Linked DNA regions of Tamandua tetradactyla. The protein of the gene in region 1 binds, or shares a complex with, the protein of each later gene. Links are inferred from orthologs where the notes say so. Each region holds a gene or a part of one and is shown in the gene's direction. Other genes may lie near its edges.

Region 1 (7,902 bases):
GGAGAAATCTAATGTTTGAACTGAAAATAGAATTGGAAGGCACCAGTGATGCTAACTAAAGTCTTGGGAATCTCTGACATCTTGGGAGTGTAGAGAGCATAAGAAGTCGAGGGTGTACTTGGGGAGGCTGTTGTCTATCTCAAGAGAGCCTTAGATTTGAGATAAGGGAAGCCATGCTAAGACATCTAGGTTGGTAATTTGTGGGCTTTTACCAGGTGCCAGAGGAAATGTTTAGCTTAGCTGATGTTGACATTTGGGAAAAAGCAATGGCCATCTGAGTCCAAGCCTGTTTTTCCTTAAGTCCCCCCAGCAAAGAAATCATCTAGCCCTGTCCCCAGTCCTACCCACATACACACATAGCCTGTGAGAAACTCTGTTTCCTAGGGCAGGAACCCCTACTTCCAGATTCAGAGTAGGTTTTATGTCTATTAGTTAGGCAAGAGGATGGCAAACTTTTTTTTTTTTTTTGGTAAAAGGCCAGGTAGAAACTATTTTAGGCTTTGTGGACTTTAAAGTTGGTCTCTGTTGCACCTGCTCAGCTCTGCTCTTGTATGTAGCTCTGGACACTACATAAGTAACTGAGCATGACATGTTCCAATAAAACTGGAAATATTTGCAAGACCATGCAGTAGCAGAATTTAGCTGTAGTTTGCAGACCCCTTGCTTAATCTGTAAATTCTGCTGCATGTGACAGAGTCCCCACACAATGGTGGCTAAAACAAGATAAAGGTTTATTTCTCACATAGCATGAAAATAGTTTGTACTAGGGCTGGTGTGGCAGCTCTGTTCCATGAAGTCATCTAGAGACCTAGGCTCCTGCTGTCTTGCTGTCCTCATGATCCAAGATGGCTCACCACCATGTCCACTTCCCAAAGCTTGAGGACACTTCCCAGAAATTATACATACCACACTCTGTGTCCCACTGGCCAGATTTCAATCACATGGCCATATCTAGCTCCAAGGGAATGTGAGAAGTGTCGGGTTTTTTTAAGCTGCCATCTGCCTAGCTAAAAACTGGAGCTCTCAGCCTCCACCATCCATCTGAATTGAACAGAAACATCTGTCAATTCAATAGAGCCTATGATGACTGTATGCAGGGCATCAACCCTGTTTCCAGGGGCAGGGCAGGTAATACAAGGGAATAAAACTGGCCAGGTGGAGCTCCTCACCTGTCTGGTAGCTTCTGCCCTGCCCCTGCTATAAGTCTAGAGTTGGGCCTTTCAGGAGAGCTCAAAAACAGGAGCTTAAAAGGATATCTCCAAGTATTTGCAACATTGACCAAATAAAACACGAAACAGAAGGTATCTTTGATTCTAAACCAGTTTCCCACAGGGCCAGGCCAGCCCTGCCCTGAGCTCCCACCTCCCTCCTTATGTTCTCTGGGATTCCTGCTCAAAAGCCAAAGCTCCCTGTTTAGATGTTTTAATTTAGAACTTTTCTGTTTTTAGATACTATTCTGTTAGTTTATTCATTTTATGCCACCTCACCTACACATATAAAAATATTCCATGCCTAGAATAGTATGCAAAATTATTCAAATGGTACATAAATTATGAGAGGGATTGATGCCATCCAATGGGGTGGCCCCTCCTTGAGAAGGAAGAGCCAGAGACTCAGCTTGCAGCCCCCGTGTGACTCAGAGTCCAGCTTCCTGCTCTGCTGCCCCAGCCCCAAAGGCCCAAGTTGCTCTGCATTAGAAACACTGCAGTCTTGCAAGTCAGCCACACCTCATCTTCCCTGTAGCCCATTAAAGCACAAATGCAGTGCCCTTTGCTCCAAAAGCCCATGGCACACATCTGGGAAGCATGAAAGGTTATTATATAATCTGCAGCAAGCTGGGATTTAAAGCTATTTAATTGGAATGAGGGGAATACAAATAACATTTTTGATTGAAAACAAAAGATCTCACTGTTAGGCTGATTTCACTCTTTCCCTAAAGGTCTCCATATTCTCCAAAGACTGAAGCCCCAAATGAATATCTTTCGGGTCCTATTTATCAGAAGCCCTTTGCCTTCCTGGGGAGGGAAGCAAATCTCTCCAAGGCCCCCAGAGCTCCCCTCGGGCGTGCTGGATGTAGTGGTGGTGCAGCCTGGCTTCCCAGACAAAGTCCTGACCACACTCGGTGCAGGCAAAGGGGCCAGAAGCTGTGCGGGCCTCGTGGGCCTGGCGATGCCGCCTCAGAGAAGAGGCCCACCCAAAAGTCTTGCCACAGTCAGGACAGGGGAAGGGGGGCTGGGGAGTCGTGGGTGCAGTCGGTGGGGAGGACCTGGTGGCGGGACCATGGTTGCGCTGATGGACGATCAGGGCCTTGGAGGAGGGGAAGGAGCGGGAGCAGATGAAGCAGATGAAAAGGGCCCCCTGCAGCTTCTGGGCCACAAAGTCCGCTGGGTGCTCCCGCTTCATGTGTCGCTCCTGGAACTTGGAATCGATGAAGGTGATGAGGCAGTGCGTACACTGCAGGGCCCCTGGATGGCCTGAAGGATGGGGAAAATGTCAGGAGAAGCCAGCAGGAGGCTCCAGGACCTCTCCTGATCCCCGAAATCAGGCCAACAATAGCACCAAGTACTCACTCTAGGCCAGGCTCTATGCCTGTGCTGGACAGAGTTATGAGGGAACTATTATTAAACCTGTTTTATAGATGAGCAGACTGAGGCTCAAAAAGTGAAGCAACATCCAGTAGAGCCAGGATGGAACCCAGGGAGTGATGGGCAGCAGCAGTGTGGTGGTAGAGGCCAATCTCCACAGCCAGTCTACCTGGGATTGAATCCTGGCTCCATCACTTCCTAGACATTGGTTCCCCCCTCTGGAAAAAGAGGTAATAACAGTATCACCTCATAGGGTTGTTGGGAGGGATAAATGGGTTATTTTCTTTCAAGTACCTGGAAAATATATATGTGCTATACAGCGGTCTGCAGTTATTACTACTGAGAAAAGCAGCCTGACATCCCAGAGCTGGTCTGGAACCCATAGCTAAGTCTCAGTGTTCTGTTGAACATATACAATTTCAACAGAACATGAACATCAGACAAGACCATGCAGAGACCTTGAAGAATCAAGACAAAAAACGAGACCATGCTAAAGTCATGTCTGAACACAACAAAAACATGAATCTTGTCCAAATCACAAAAATGACCCAAGATCCCCCTATCCCGGCTAATGGGAGTGACTGCTGCTGCTTTAACAATCACAGCTTCAGCCTCACTTTGTTCCTTCTTCCCAGATAAGATGTATTAAGATGTCTAATCAGAGAATGGCCCCTGCTTTCTGACAGCATCCAATCCACAACAAAACTCTGCTTCCTTGAACCCTCCCCAAACCTGCCTAACACAAACCCTAATCCTATAGTAAGTCCTTTTTTATACCCTCTGAGACCACCCACAGCTCCCCCTGGTGTGTGTTCTCCCTTGCGGTATTCAACTACAGGTGTGTTCCTGGTGGGTGGTCTTGGGCTGGAGGGCACTGACATTACTGCTCTCATGCTTATTAATCCTTAATCTCTCTCTGCCTCAGTTCTCTCATCTGTAAAGTGATAATACCAATTTCATTAGGTTTGTTTGGAGGACTTAATGAGATAGTGTTAAACTCAGAGTGCTGTCTGGCACATAAGTATTCAGTAGAAGTGCTTGCTATTAAGTCAAACGGCTATCGTTGTTAACATCCAACTTTCTCTTTTTCTGCAGCAAATTCCCCCCAACAGCTCTGTGAGATGGGTAACGGCAGCTCCTTTTGACAGCTAGGGTAATGGAGGCCCAATCACACAGCAAGTCCAGGACAGAGTTGTGGCCAGAACCTCAGGCCTTCTCTCTCAATCTGCCCTTTCCCATCTATATCTCCCACCCCATGCCTGTCCTGGATGTTAACGTCTGCCTCTGAACCACATCCCATTCCTGTTTCTGTGGCAGGAGCAGGGTGGGTGTACCTGAGGGTAGTGAGGGTGGGGAGAGGCAGTTCCTGTTAGGCAGTTCAGGGAGGGACCACATCCCACACAGCCTTGAACACTGAAATGCTGTAGAGATCCTTTTAGCATCAGTTCCTGTTCCCCACCCTCTCTGGCTAGAAGTACTCACAGATGTCACCTCCCGGGCTGCGGGAACTCCTCTCTTTTGACGAGTCCTGTTGCTCCATGGTCTTTTGTGGGTGCAGGTCCTCCATGGAGACTTGAGACTCCTCTAGTCGATAGAGGAGTATGAATGACAGAATAGTAAATCAAGTGAGGCAGCTCATCTGTCATCAGCCTCAGTCAGAGGGCCCGCTAATCCTGTGACCTCTGACCGCAACAGAGACTCTCCATGCCAACCTTTGACCCCCATGACATGCCATCTCCTTGAACTCTAACCTGATGAAAACTTCCCAAAGGATTCCACTCCCCAAGTTCGTGACTCCCCTATAGCCTTCTCACCTGTGTGACCTATGACATCCTGCATGGTTCTAACTCTGAATTCAGAGCGTGGGACCCTTGATTTCTGACACCAGCAAGTCCCTCCGATCCCCGTCTCTCCCACCTGTCGTAGGTCTGGTACGTGAACTCTGGTCCCACCCTTTAGCCCGCCTCTTCCCGGGAGACCTCCTCCTCTGGCATCCTGTGACTACTTCTACCTTCCACGCACGCCTTCACCCGCTCCGTGTCCCTGTGTCCCAAGCACTGCCCACGGTTCCCTGCTCCCGACTTCCGGAGCCCTCTGACTTTCTCCCTACAGCACAAGGCTGCCTTTGGCTGCGCCTACCAGTCGTTCACCACAGTTGCCGCGCCTTTCCGCCCCGTGAGCCCCTGGAAGCCGAAATCCCAGATTACCACCGGGCAGCGGCGTAGCCGCGCCAACGCAGGGCTCCGAATGCGGGAGGGGTCCTTCTCCGGCAGGGGGAGCGTTATGATGACGTCGCAAGACGCCATTGCCGTACAAACTTAAGCTTTTTGCGTACGGATGGTTAGGCGCTCGCGGTACGCAGGCGCTTTGGCACCTTCATTGTTCCCCGCCCAGATGTTCCAATCCAAGCTTTCGAGTCACGCCTCTTCCTCCAGGGACTGATATCAAAACCCCTGGATCGGGTCCCGACGTCCCCAAATCCGAGCGCTCTGGTCTCTCCGTCCTCCGTCTCCCGGAGCACAGGAGCCGGGCTTCTTAGGGCCTGACCCGGCCACCACGAACTGCGCTCGCCCGTGTGTCGACAGCTCGGTTAGTGATTTGGAAGTGCTCCGGGAAATGGTGGTGGTGGGGGGTGGGGGTGGGGAAGTAAAATACTCAATATCGCCGAGGGAGAAGGGGACTCGAGCCCGCGTTTCTCGAATTTTTGAAGCAAACGCTTGCGTCCGGAAAGATGGTAAGCAGGATGCCTGCGTACCTGGGGAGTTCGGCCTGGCGCCTGGGTTTCTGGATCCTGGGGAATGACATTGAGGAATGGGAGGAGGGGTCGGGGCGGAGGACTGATTCTGGGTACGGAGTGGGGAGACTAGGAAAGAAAAGGGCTGGGGAAATTCCCTGATCGGGGTCTTTCCCATCTTGCTTTCCAGCCATGCCTTCATCACGGGGTGACGTTACTGCTTTGTTTCTGGGGCCCCCGGGCTCCGGAAAGTCTGCGCTGATCACAGCGCTGTGCGACAAGGATGTGGAGACACTCGAAACCACCGAGGAAAGGCCGGAGACTGGGGTCCCCATCCTTCGGGCTGCCGGCCCAGGCCTCTTCCTGGGCGAGCTGAGCTGCCCACCCGCAGCGCCGGGAGCGTGGGCTGCAGAGGCCAACGTGCTGGTACTGGTGCTGCCCGGACCCGAGGGGAACAGGGAGATCTTGGCGCCAGCGCTGGGAGAGGCGGCGCGTGATGCCTTGGCCCGGGGGACTCCGCTGCTGGCTGTGCGGACCCTCCAGCCCGGGGATTCACAGAATGAGTCCCGGGCCCGGGATGAGACAGAGGCCTTGCTGGACAGCGCAGGATTGGGAGCCGCGACTCTCTTCGTGGTGCCAACCCGCTGCGGCAGCGGTGACCGCTGCGAAGAGCTGGAGCGCCTGCGGGCGGTGCTGGAGAGCCAAGCGGAAGCTCTGCAGAGGTGAGTGCGAGAACTAAGGGTGGGGGTGGGGAAAAGGGCCCTTAAAGTGCTTGTTGAAGTCTGCGAGGACTCAGCTCCAGTGAATTTTGGGCAAGCTGTAAGTCCCATCCTTCAACACAGGTTTTGAGGTCAGCAAGGCCCCACTCCAGGCCAGGGCTTTGTGCTTGGCCCTTTTCTGTCATCTGCGCTCCACCCCCAACTAAGGGTCAGCTCCTGGTCCTGGCCTGTGCCCACTTGCTGGCTACCTGCTGCTGAATTTTTTCCCCAAGCCCCATACACCTCATTTTATAGACAATCAGAACTCTCAGAGAGGTAGCTTCTTGTCCAGATCTAATGCTTAACTTTTTTCCTTATTCTCACCCACCCAATGTTGCCTTAGCCACACGTCCCAGGTAGGAACTAGTAGATGAAGCTTCTCCCCTCACTGGTTGTCCTCTTTCCCGGCCTCAGGACAGAGCACTCTTTGGGACCTTTTCCATGTCAAATAGTGCTGCAGTACAGGCCCAAGTACAATCCCAATTCTCTTTTTTGCTCCAAGCCCACGCCCTGTGAGCTTTGCCTCATATAAGCCCTGCCTCCAAATTCCATATACCCGATAGTTTTTTTTCTCAATGTTTTTATTGACAAATCTTCACACATGTACAGTCCATACATGGTATGCACTCAGTGGCTCACAGTATCATTGTATAATTGTGTATTCATCACCATGATCATTTTAGAACATTTGCATCACTCCAGAAAAAGAAAAAATTCATACATCCCATATCCTTACCCCTCCCTTTCATTGGCCACTAGTATTTCAATCTACCCAATTTATTTTACCCTGTATGCCCCCCTTTTATTTTTTATCCATATTTTTTTACTCATCTGTCCATACCCTTGATAAAAGGAGCATCAGATACAAGATTTCCACAATAACACAGTCAGTTGTACAAGCTATATCATTATACAATTGTCTTCAAGTATCAAGGCTACTGGAACACAACTCAAAAGTTGTTTCAGGTACTTCACTCCAGCCACTCCAATACAACATAAACTAGAAAGGGATATCTGTATAATGTCTAAGAATAACTTCCAGGATAACCTCTTGACTGTGTTTGGAATCTCTCAGCCACTGAAACTTTATTTTGTCTCATTTCTCTCTTCCCCCTTTTGGTCAAGAAGGCTTTCTCAATCCCATGATGCTGCATCCCGGCTCATCTCGGGAGTTCTGTCCCACGTTGCCAGGGAGATTCACACCCCTGGAAGTCATGTCTGACATAACATGGAGGGCAGTGAGTTCACCTGCCAAGTTGGCTTAGAGCAAGAGGTCACATCTGAGCAAGAAAAGAGGTTCTGTAGGGATTACTCTTAGACATAATTAGAAGTAGGCTTAGCCTATTCTTTGCAGGAATAAGTTTCATAGGGGCAAACCCCAAGATCAATGACTCAGCCTATTGATTTTGTTGTCCCTACTGTTTAAGAAAATATCAGGAATTCCCCAGATGGGGAAGTTGTATATTTCCTCCTTTCTCCCCAGTCCCCCAAGGGGACTTTGCAAATACTTCTTTACTTGCTGTCTAAATTCCTCTGGGATATACTGGGGCATCAGACTTATCTGAACAAACCAACAAGATCTCACACCCTGTTCAAGATTCCATGTACTAAATTTAAAAAATGTTTTTGCATGAGGAAGAACAAAGGAATGTCATTACTTCCGGGTGCTGGAAATAGATGGTAATCAATATTTTAAAATTTTACCTTATGTGTGAGACTAAAGCAAAAAATGTTTATTTGGTACAAAATTTATATTTTGACTAGTGCATTTCCTAATATAACTTACGTAGACAGCTTAATTGAACACCATAAGTACATGGAACCT
Region 2 (7,904 bases), about 49 Mb from region 1:
TCATTAAAGAGTCCTGAAGGAGCACATCGTAGTATCAAGAGATAATGTGACGGGGTGGGGGGTATGGTATGTATGAATTTTTTTCTGTTTTCTTTTATTTCTTTTTCTGAATAGATGCAAATGTTCCAAGAAATGATCGTGATGATGAATATGCAACTATGTGATGATATTGTGAATTACTGTTTATATATGTAGAACAAAATGATTATATATATATATATATATTGGGTAGATGGAAATATGAGTGGTCAATGAGAGGGAGGGGTAAGGGGTATGGTATGTATGAGTTTTTCTTTTTTCTTTTCATTTCTTTTTCTGGAGCGATGAAAATGTTCTAAGAAATGATCATGGTGATGAATATACAAGTATGTGCTGATATTGTGAGCCACTGATTGTATACCATATATGGAATGTTCATATGTTAAGAATGTTTGTTTGTATGTTGTTTTGTCAGTAAAAATATTTAAAAAAGAAAGAGAGAGAGATAATGTGAAATTTGTGCTGAGTGGAGTCCGGTAGCTGGTGCCCCTAATTTGAAGGCAACCTAGAAGTAGCTACTAGATGAACAGCTGCGATTCAAACATACAGAGATCAAGAGCTGCCCATTCTGGAGAACTATCCTCAGGGTCCTTACAAGGGTCCAAGATGACATTGTCCTCAACCATAAAATATGACTTTGACATAGTCCAGTACTCTCATTCTTGCTTTTAAAGCTTTTCTGGGGTGGCAACATTGCTTTTAACTTCAGCAATTTTTGTGCTCAAGTCTATGGTTTGATTCTTAAAAATTATACTGTGTACATTTTAAGTGGATGATTTTCATTTACTCAAGTAGCTATTAAAATAAGATTTTTCTAGAACAGATGCCAGATAGTGCCTCCTGAGTGTGGCCCTGTTACTGGACAAAGGCCGTGGATTCTTTTGCCCGACGCGCTCAATAACCAATTCCTGAGACACCAGGGTTTCAAAGAGAGATAGCGTTTATTATGAGGCATGTAGTACAAGAATAGATGGCTTAGCTGTCCCAAATCTGTTTCCCTGAACTGCAGTAATTCTGATAGTTTTATTAGAGAAAAGATGGGCACGGTTTAGAATAATGAGCACAATGGCCCCAGATGATGTAATTAGAGGTGATCTAATTATTGAGCTTGTGCAGATCGATTACATGCTTAGTTACAGAACGTGTGTAAGAAAATGATGGAGAGGTATAGGTGTCTCACAGGTTAAAGTCTAAGCTACTGCACATGTCAGGCAGACCCGCTTTTGTTAGATCCAGTCTCTTTTATCAAGATAACTTTAGATTTGGGGTGGGTTAGTTCTGGTCCAGACCCAAGATACTTCATTAATAAATATTAGGGGCTGTCTTTAGTTATTACAAGACTCTAAAGTTGAAAAACTGGATAACTTGGTAAAATGAAGATCAGTCACAGGGTTTTTACAATCACAGAGAAGATAAGGGCTATACAATCATTACCAGGGATCAGGACAGTTCAGAGATTTCAGGTATTTCCCTCTGTCCAATATGCCATAAAGGAAAAAGGAATATTTATATAATGATTCAGTAATCAAAGTCATCACTTAAATCCTGGTTTCTTGGTTACAGTCCTCTTTGGAGGAAAGAGGCTTTGAAGGACTGCTGAAGGAAACATACTGTAGCTAGTTTCAATTTAGTTACTGCTGAAATAGAAGCAGCTGACTGCTAAGAATGTAGGTGCATTGAGTGTTTCAGCTTCTGTGAGGTGCATGAACTTTACACAAGTATTTATTATGGGAAAAGACATAAAAAAAAAAGTAGGTAGGGAGAGAGGACAGAAAGACACTGCACATCAATGAAACCATCAGGAGGCAGGACCATGAGTTGGTGAATGGTGGATAACTCCTTTCCCTGAGAAATATACTGAGTTCTCATGTGCAAGGTGATAGATACATGCCTGGGACCAGAACATAATTACCAACTCTGTAAAGGGAAGCAAGAGTCTGGGTCCAATTTCTAACTCCTCTGCTGATTCACACATTATGAGAAGGTGAACAACCATCTTCACTCCTTGGGGGTTAATTCTATCCTTAAAATAGATATTTTTCCCTTTATTTTCACTCACCCTCTAGCTCTCACCTAGTTCCATAGCTTTAAATACTTCTCCCCTGAATCTGAGACTAATAGATCTATTTACCAATTTCACATCTTCATTTGGATGTCTTTTGGATCTGTTTCTTGGGCATCTTTTGCTTAATATATCCAAAACCAAACTCTTGACCCCACTTCAACAACACTGGCTCCACCCTATTTCAGCAAATGGCAATTCAATTCTTCCAACAACCTCGACTTTGACTTCTAATACACACCCATATCCAATCTGATAAAAGCAATACGTTTCATACAATTTAGGATCTTAAAGCATTATTAAGTAATTCTTAAACTGGGCAGGATTCCATTCAGAAAGTAGAAGGAAGCGCCATTAAAGGGGTGAAAAAGAGAAGCTCAGACAGGGTGAAAGCAGAAGCAAGCAAGGAAATGTTCTGCTTGGCTGCTATTAGTTTCCATTTTACATAGAGGAGTCTTACAAAGTGGGGAGCAGATATAAATTGATAGTATGGTATGCTTGTCCATTCTGATAAGCTTTCTCTACTGGACCAAAGCAATCCTGTAGGGTGTATTCCATTTTCTCAGAATTGTTTTTGTCTTCTAGAAAAGCTTTTTGGGAAGGGGTCTTCTCCTGGCAATGCCCAAAGTGGGTGGTCATTTCATTTTACTTAAATGTATCGGCCAATTTTGTAAGCTCTAACCTTCAAAATATATCCAGTATATAATTACTTCCCACCACCACCATAGATACCATCCTGGTCTAAATCAACATCATCTTTCATGTGGATTATCACAACAGCTTCTTAACTTGTCCCCTTACTTCCACCTTCACCCCCACCCCCCACCATAATCTACTGTCTACACACAAGCAAGTCTGATCATTTAAAAAGGAAAGTCCTTTGCTCAAGTCCTCCACTAACTTCCCACCTCATTCTGAATAAAATTCAAAGTTCTGTCCATGGTATATGAGGCTCAAAACCTCTTTGACCTCCTCTTCTACCACTGTCCTCTTTGTTCCCTCAGTTCCAGACACACCAGCTCCTTCCTGTTCCCATAATATGCCACCACTCGATCCATAAAGCATTTTATCCCACTATCACTCTTTAGGTCCTTACCCTGCTTTACTTTTCTAAACAGCACCTCTATTTATATGACATATTTATTTATTGTCTTGTTCCACTAGAATTTTAGTAAACTCTATGAGAACAGGGATGCTATGTGTTTTGCTCACTGCTGTTTCCCCAGCACCTAGAACAGTGCTCCCGTATACAAAAACACCTGATTTCTATGTATGAAATTAAAAGAATTTTTCACGTTATTATCAACAAACAAACACTCACCTATTTTGGCTGCTCAGACATGCAGTCTTAAAATAACAAAAATAATTTTAAAATGAAGCTAGATTCAACAGCATCCATGGAGAATTTTAATTGTAGGAAATGATGAATGATAATATTCAAATACAGGCCATTCAGATGCATCAGAATCACAAGCACGGGGTAAGGGTCATGTGCCCAATTAAGTGAATATTCTTATTAAACATTCACCAGCTCATAAATAGATGATGACCCAGACTGGACTGCCCTGATGACTCTGCTTGGAAGAAGGGGATTACATCATGGATTGGAAGGCGTCAAGGCATGTGCTGGGGCAAGTGACACACACACACACACAGCCCAGGCTGTGATTTGCAATCCTCCATCTGCCAAACAAGGAAGCCCGACTCCTGACCAGCTGTCACGGTAATTCTTCGAGACTGACAGTCACTAGGTAAGGTTAAGGGGTCTCTCTTAGTGATCAATAAAGTTACATTCCTCAAATGTGTATTTTGATGCCCTTTCTTAAATGTTCATCAAATATTTATGTATGAATAAAGGAAGGAAATGAAAGTTGTTCAAATTCGATTTCTACATCGAAGGCAACCTATTATGAGTGTCTTCCAGGTTGTCTCTAGTACACCACTCCCCACCCCAGGCTTCTCAAACTAGTCACACACTGTCATACCGAGCCACACCTGCCCCCCCCTCCAAACAATGTCAATACCCAAACAGACCCCCTTCCATCGTCAACCCCAGAAACCCAATGTCTTTTATACTTCCAAACATCCCCTCCTGTCAACTAACACCCTAATCAGACCTCCCCATCAAAAGCCCTCTGTAATTGCCCTGTCCTATTAGCCATACTCCAAACTCCCCTTCCCATAACTAACGTCCACCCAGACCCTGCTCCTGTCACCGTTTCCCGGAGCATCCTCTCCCGGAGTCACCAGCATCCCTCACAGACACACCTACGCAGCAGGTAGCCAGGTAACCGTCCCGGCGCCCCGCGGAGCCCCTCGCGGGGTCCTCCAGGCCCCTCCCCTTCGTGTGGCCCCGCCCCCTGGCATGGTGCCCCGGCAAGTGGCGCCGGAAGCCCCGCCTCCTGCCCGTTGCCAAGCTCGGGCAGCCGGAAGTCCCGCCTGCCGTGTAGTCGCCGCCGCCGCTGCCGTCGTTGTTGTTGTGGTCGGTGCGCTGAGTTCCGCGGCTCGGAGAGCCGGCTCTGTCCCTTCGCCGCCGCCGCCATGAAGTGGATGTTCAAGGAGGACCACTCGCTGGGTAAGCGCTTGGCCGCCTGCCGGGCCGTGGGGGTGGGGGTGGGGGTGGGGGTGGCGGGTGGGCCCCCTCCCCCACTCGGGCTGTCCTGGGTCGGGCCTGGCGGGGCTGATGCTGTGCCCTGGGCTTGGGACGCCGAGGCCCCGGTCCCTGGATGGCCGACGCCGGCCCCGTCACGCCCTCATTCGTCCCGACCAAGAGTCAGGGGATAAAGGACAGCGACCGCGGGGACGCTCGAACGAGGGCCCGGGACGTGCGCAGGTCGCGGGGTAGGAAGGTTGGGGACTCGATACCGGCCGGCGTGTCTGTCAGCTCCGTGTGTTTCCCCTACAGAACACAGATGCGTGGAATCCGCGAAGATCCGAGCGAAATATCCCGACCGGGTTCCGGTGAGTGTTCGGCCTCCCCCGCCCCCTCACCTCGCCGTCACCCCTGCCGTCTAGGGTCTGTGATTAGGATACTAGGCCATTCAGCAGTTGACAAGTTGAGGTTCCAGTCCCGGTTGTAGTAGCAGAAAGGCTGGACTGTGTTAGGGCGGTCAGGGGCAGGGCGTGAGGGGCTCGGGTTTCTGCTGTTCAAGGTTTCTCGGTGCTGAATCTCCTGATCTAGGCCAGAGAGCTGTCTGCAGCCTCTGGGCTCCCTCGCCAATTATATAAGGAACGTTGTTCTGGGACAGGGCAATAGGTCATTGCCACTTGGGGGAATAATGGTGGAGGAGGACTGTCACTTTGGTCTTAGAAGTGGTACTTCAGTCTCAGAACATTCCTTTTTAACTTCAAACCTCCATTTTTACATAACCTCCAGCTTCCTTTCCTCACTCAGACCCTGCTTTCTTTGACCAAAAAAAACCTGAAAGCCACAAAAGAATCCCTTGTCCTCTGGTTTCCCTTTAATAGACAATAAGTATGATCCTGTATTTCTTCCAGGGTGGGGAAATATTGGTTTTCCCAGGGAATCAGGCCTTTTATTGTAGTTCTTTGCCTGTGAACAATTCTTTTGGAGAGAGAGCAGGAAGGACATTCAGACCTCATTCAGACAGAAGCAACAGGCCAAACGAAGAGCGTGGTTCTTGGCTGGCTGGGGTAGCTAGTCATTCTTATTAGTCCATCCCTCTTTGTTTCCAGGGCTCCTTGGGATATTAATTCTCCTGTAGTGTGAAGCAGATCCTGTCTGGGATCCTGGGGTAACAGGCTTTAGATAAAATCCTCACCAGATATTCTCCTTTCTGCTCAAATAGAATGTTGAAAAGCTTAGTAGTAAGAGCTGTGTTTCTCTTATACAGGCTGAGATCAGGGATGAGAAATACAGTACGTGACCACAGAAAAGCACTTACCATTGTAACACGTTTATGTCATTTCTCAATCTCCAGAGTGTGTGGTTTATTAAGATGGGGCTTATTTTCTCATGCTACTCAATTTCCCACCCACCTCCTAGCTCTTACTGTATTTATTAGCTTCCCTGACAATGTGAGGCCAGAGCCTCACTTTAGAAATCCAGTCCTAACTTCTCTTTACTTTCTCAGGTGATTGTGGAAAAAGTCTCAGGCTCTCAAATTGTTGACATTGACAAACGGAAGTACCTGGTTCCATCTGACATCACTGTGGCTCAATTTATGTGGATCATCAGAAAAAGGATTCAGCTTCCTTCTGAAAAGGCGATCTTCCTGTTTGTGGATAAGACAGTCCCACAGTCCAGGTGAGAGATGGTCAGTAGAAGGGCCCTCTGGTAATGACCACTGTTTGGCGTCTTACAAACTCAGAACTTTGAAAGTGTGAATACTCTTAAGGGTCTTGAGTGAATATCTGGATTTTGTGCTTCCTAGCATCAGGAGCCCTCCATGAAAATGAGGAAGGGCAGCAAGACATGGGAGCATACTTTAAGTTAACAAAAGAGAATTCAGTCCCTGTTTTTTAATTCAGGGCCTGAATTTAAAAAAAAAGAAGACGAAAGAAACCCTGCCTTAGAACCCCAAGAATCTTTTAAAACAGTTGAGGACTCAGTTTTAAGCCATAGCTGGAACTGATGCCTCAAATAAAGTTTTCTCTAAATGATCTGTGAAATTAGACCTGTCACTCCACCAGGAGCTTGTGGGCCCTGCTGAGACTGAGACTCAGCCTCAGCTATTCATCCTGCTACTTGCTGTCTAAATGCAGTTAGCTCTTCCCACTATGAGAATCTATAGGTCCCTGATCCTCACTCAAGTCCATTAAAATGGCTACTGTCCAGTCAAGGGCCCTGAAGTCTCTACAGATTAACCCTGTCTTGGTGCCACCTGCTTTGACTGTCAGAGGAGCTCCTGTGCTCTGTCTTGCTACCTGAAAGCAATCTTTGAGGTTATAACTTGGGACCTAAATCTAGGCAGGGCGTTACAATTTTTCCTCTTCTGTGAGGTTGACAGCTTAGCTTTAGTTCCCTGTGGAAAGGAAAATGGACTGGTTCAGTCTAAACCTCTGGACTGTCCTTTACTGTTACTGATTGTGTGCTTCTCGCCCCTGAGTGCGAGTTCCTGGCTGTATTTTGGTAATCCACAACTAACTCAGGTGTTATTTGTTACTCTAAAAGTAGTATATCTAACTAAAGCTGGTAACTAGCCCACTGTGGCCAAAATATGCTCCCTTTAAAAATCCTTGAAAGCTCCAGAAGAGGGCTAAGGCAAATACCAGACCTGTTTATTCTTAAGTCTGATTTCCTCTTTCTCAATCTCCATGTCTTCATTTCCTCGTGTTTGGCAGAGAGGCAGGGCAGGGAAGAAATAGAAATCTCTTCTCTAATGCCAGTGTCCTGCCCACGAGGTACCATTTGTCTTCTTCAGCTGTAACTTAGAAGCTGCAGTGTTGCCAGAGGTGATTTAGTCACCCCAATGGGCTCTTCCAGCCTCCCTGCCTTTTCCACAGGCCTCTGGGCAGTGTGGTGCTGGTGTACTCTTACCCAGGGAGGAAGCCCTGGCCATCTGTAGTTGCTCTTGGCTTCCCTTAAGGTGGTGGGGAGATAAATTTTCTTTTGTACCACCTGGAATTTCAGTAGGTTCTTGACAACCCTATTTCCTTGTTCTTGGAGATGGCTTTTTAGAAGAAGTAGGTGACCAGGACCTGTAGCATCAAGTTTATTTTTCTCAATTCTCATCCTCTGATACTTCCTGAGGTAAATGAAGTAGGCTTCTAGAGATTACTCTGAAGGCTCCATATTATCCTAGTAGTTAAAATGGCTGCCCCTCCCTCATTATCCCTGAGA

The links. Proteins that work in one complex are often made in the same cells at the same time.
Region 2: the proteins of IRGQ (region 1) and GABARAPL2 are in contact, whole or in part, in a crystal structure (PDB 8Q6Q), measured with the Homo sapiens proteins. The link is inferred for Tamandua tetradactyla from reciprocal best matches to the Homo sapiens genes IRGQ and GABARAPL2. Residues at the interface, in NP_001007562.1 of Homo sapiens: Asp7, Thr9, Leu11, Pro47, Leu49, Phe57, Pro70, Trp71, Glu74, Pro181, Ala182, Gln183, Asp184, Gly185, Phe186, Glu187, Val188, Leu189; in NP_009216.1 of Homo sapiens: Ser10, Glu12, His13, Cys15, Val16, Glu17, Ala19, Lys20, Ile21, Ala23, Lys24, Tyr25, Arg28, Pro30, Lys46, Lys48, Tyr49, Leu50, Val51, Pro52, Phe60, Ile63, Arg67, Phe104.

The regions. Positions count from the first base shown.
Region 1 is NC_135342.1:21,194,593-21,202,494, forward strand, and holds the start of IRGQ (immunity-related GTPase family Q protein), read left to right. Parts: upstream 1-4,696; 5' UTR 4,697-5,201; coding exon 5,202-5,319; intron 5,320-5,509; coding exon 5,510-6,041; intron 6,042-7,902. Other genes in the region: ZNF576 (zinc finger protein 576), read right to left, coding at 1,990-2,474, 4,068-4,169, 4,400-4,424. UniProt on the Homo sapiens protein: Autophagy receptor that specifically promotes clearance of misfolded MHC class I molecules by targeting them to the lysosome for degradation.
Region 2 is NC_135342.1:70,248,512-70,256,415, forward strand, and holds the start of GABARAPL2 (gamma-aminobutyric acid receptor-associated protein-like 2), read left to right. Parts: upstream 1-4,505; 5' UTR 4,506-4,642; coding exon 4,643-4,676; intron 4,677-5,006; coding exon 5,007-5,062; intron 5,063-6,195; coding exon 6,196-6,368; intron 6,369-7,904. UniProt on the Homo sapiens protein: Ubiquitin-like modifier involved in intra-Golgi traffic. Modulates intra-Golgi transport through coupling between NSF activity and SNAREs activation. It first stimulates the ATPase activity of NSF which in turn stimulates the association with GOSR1.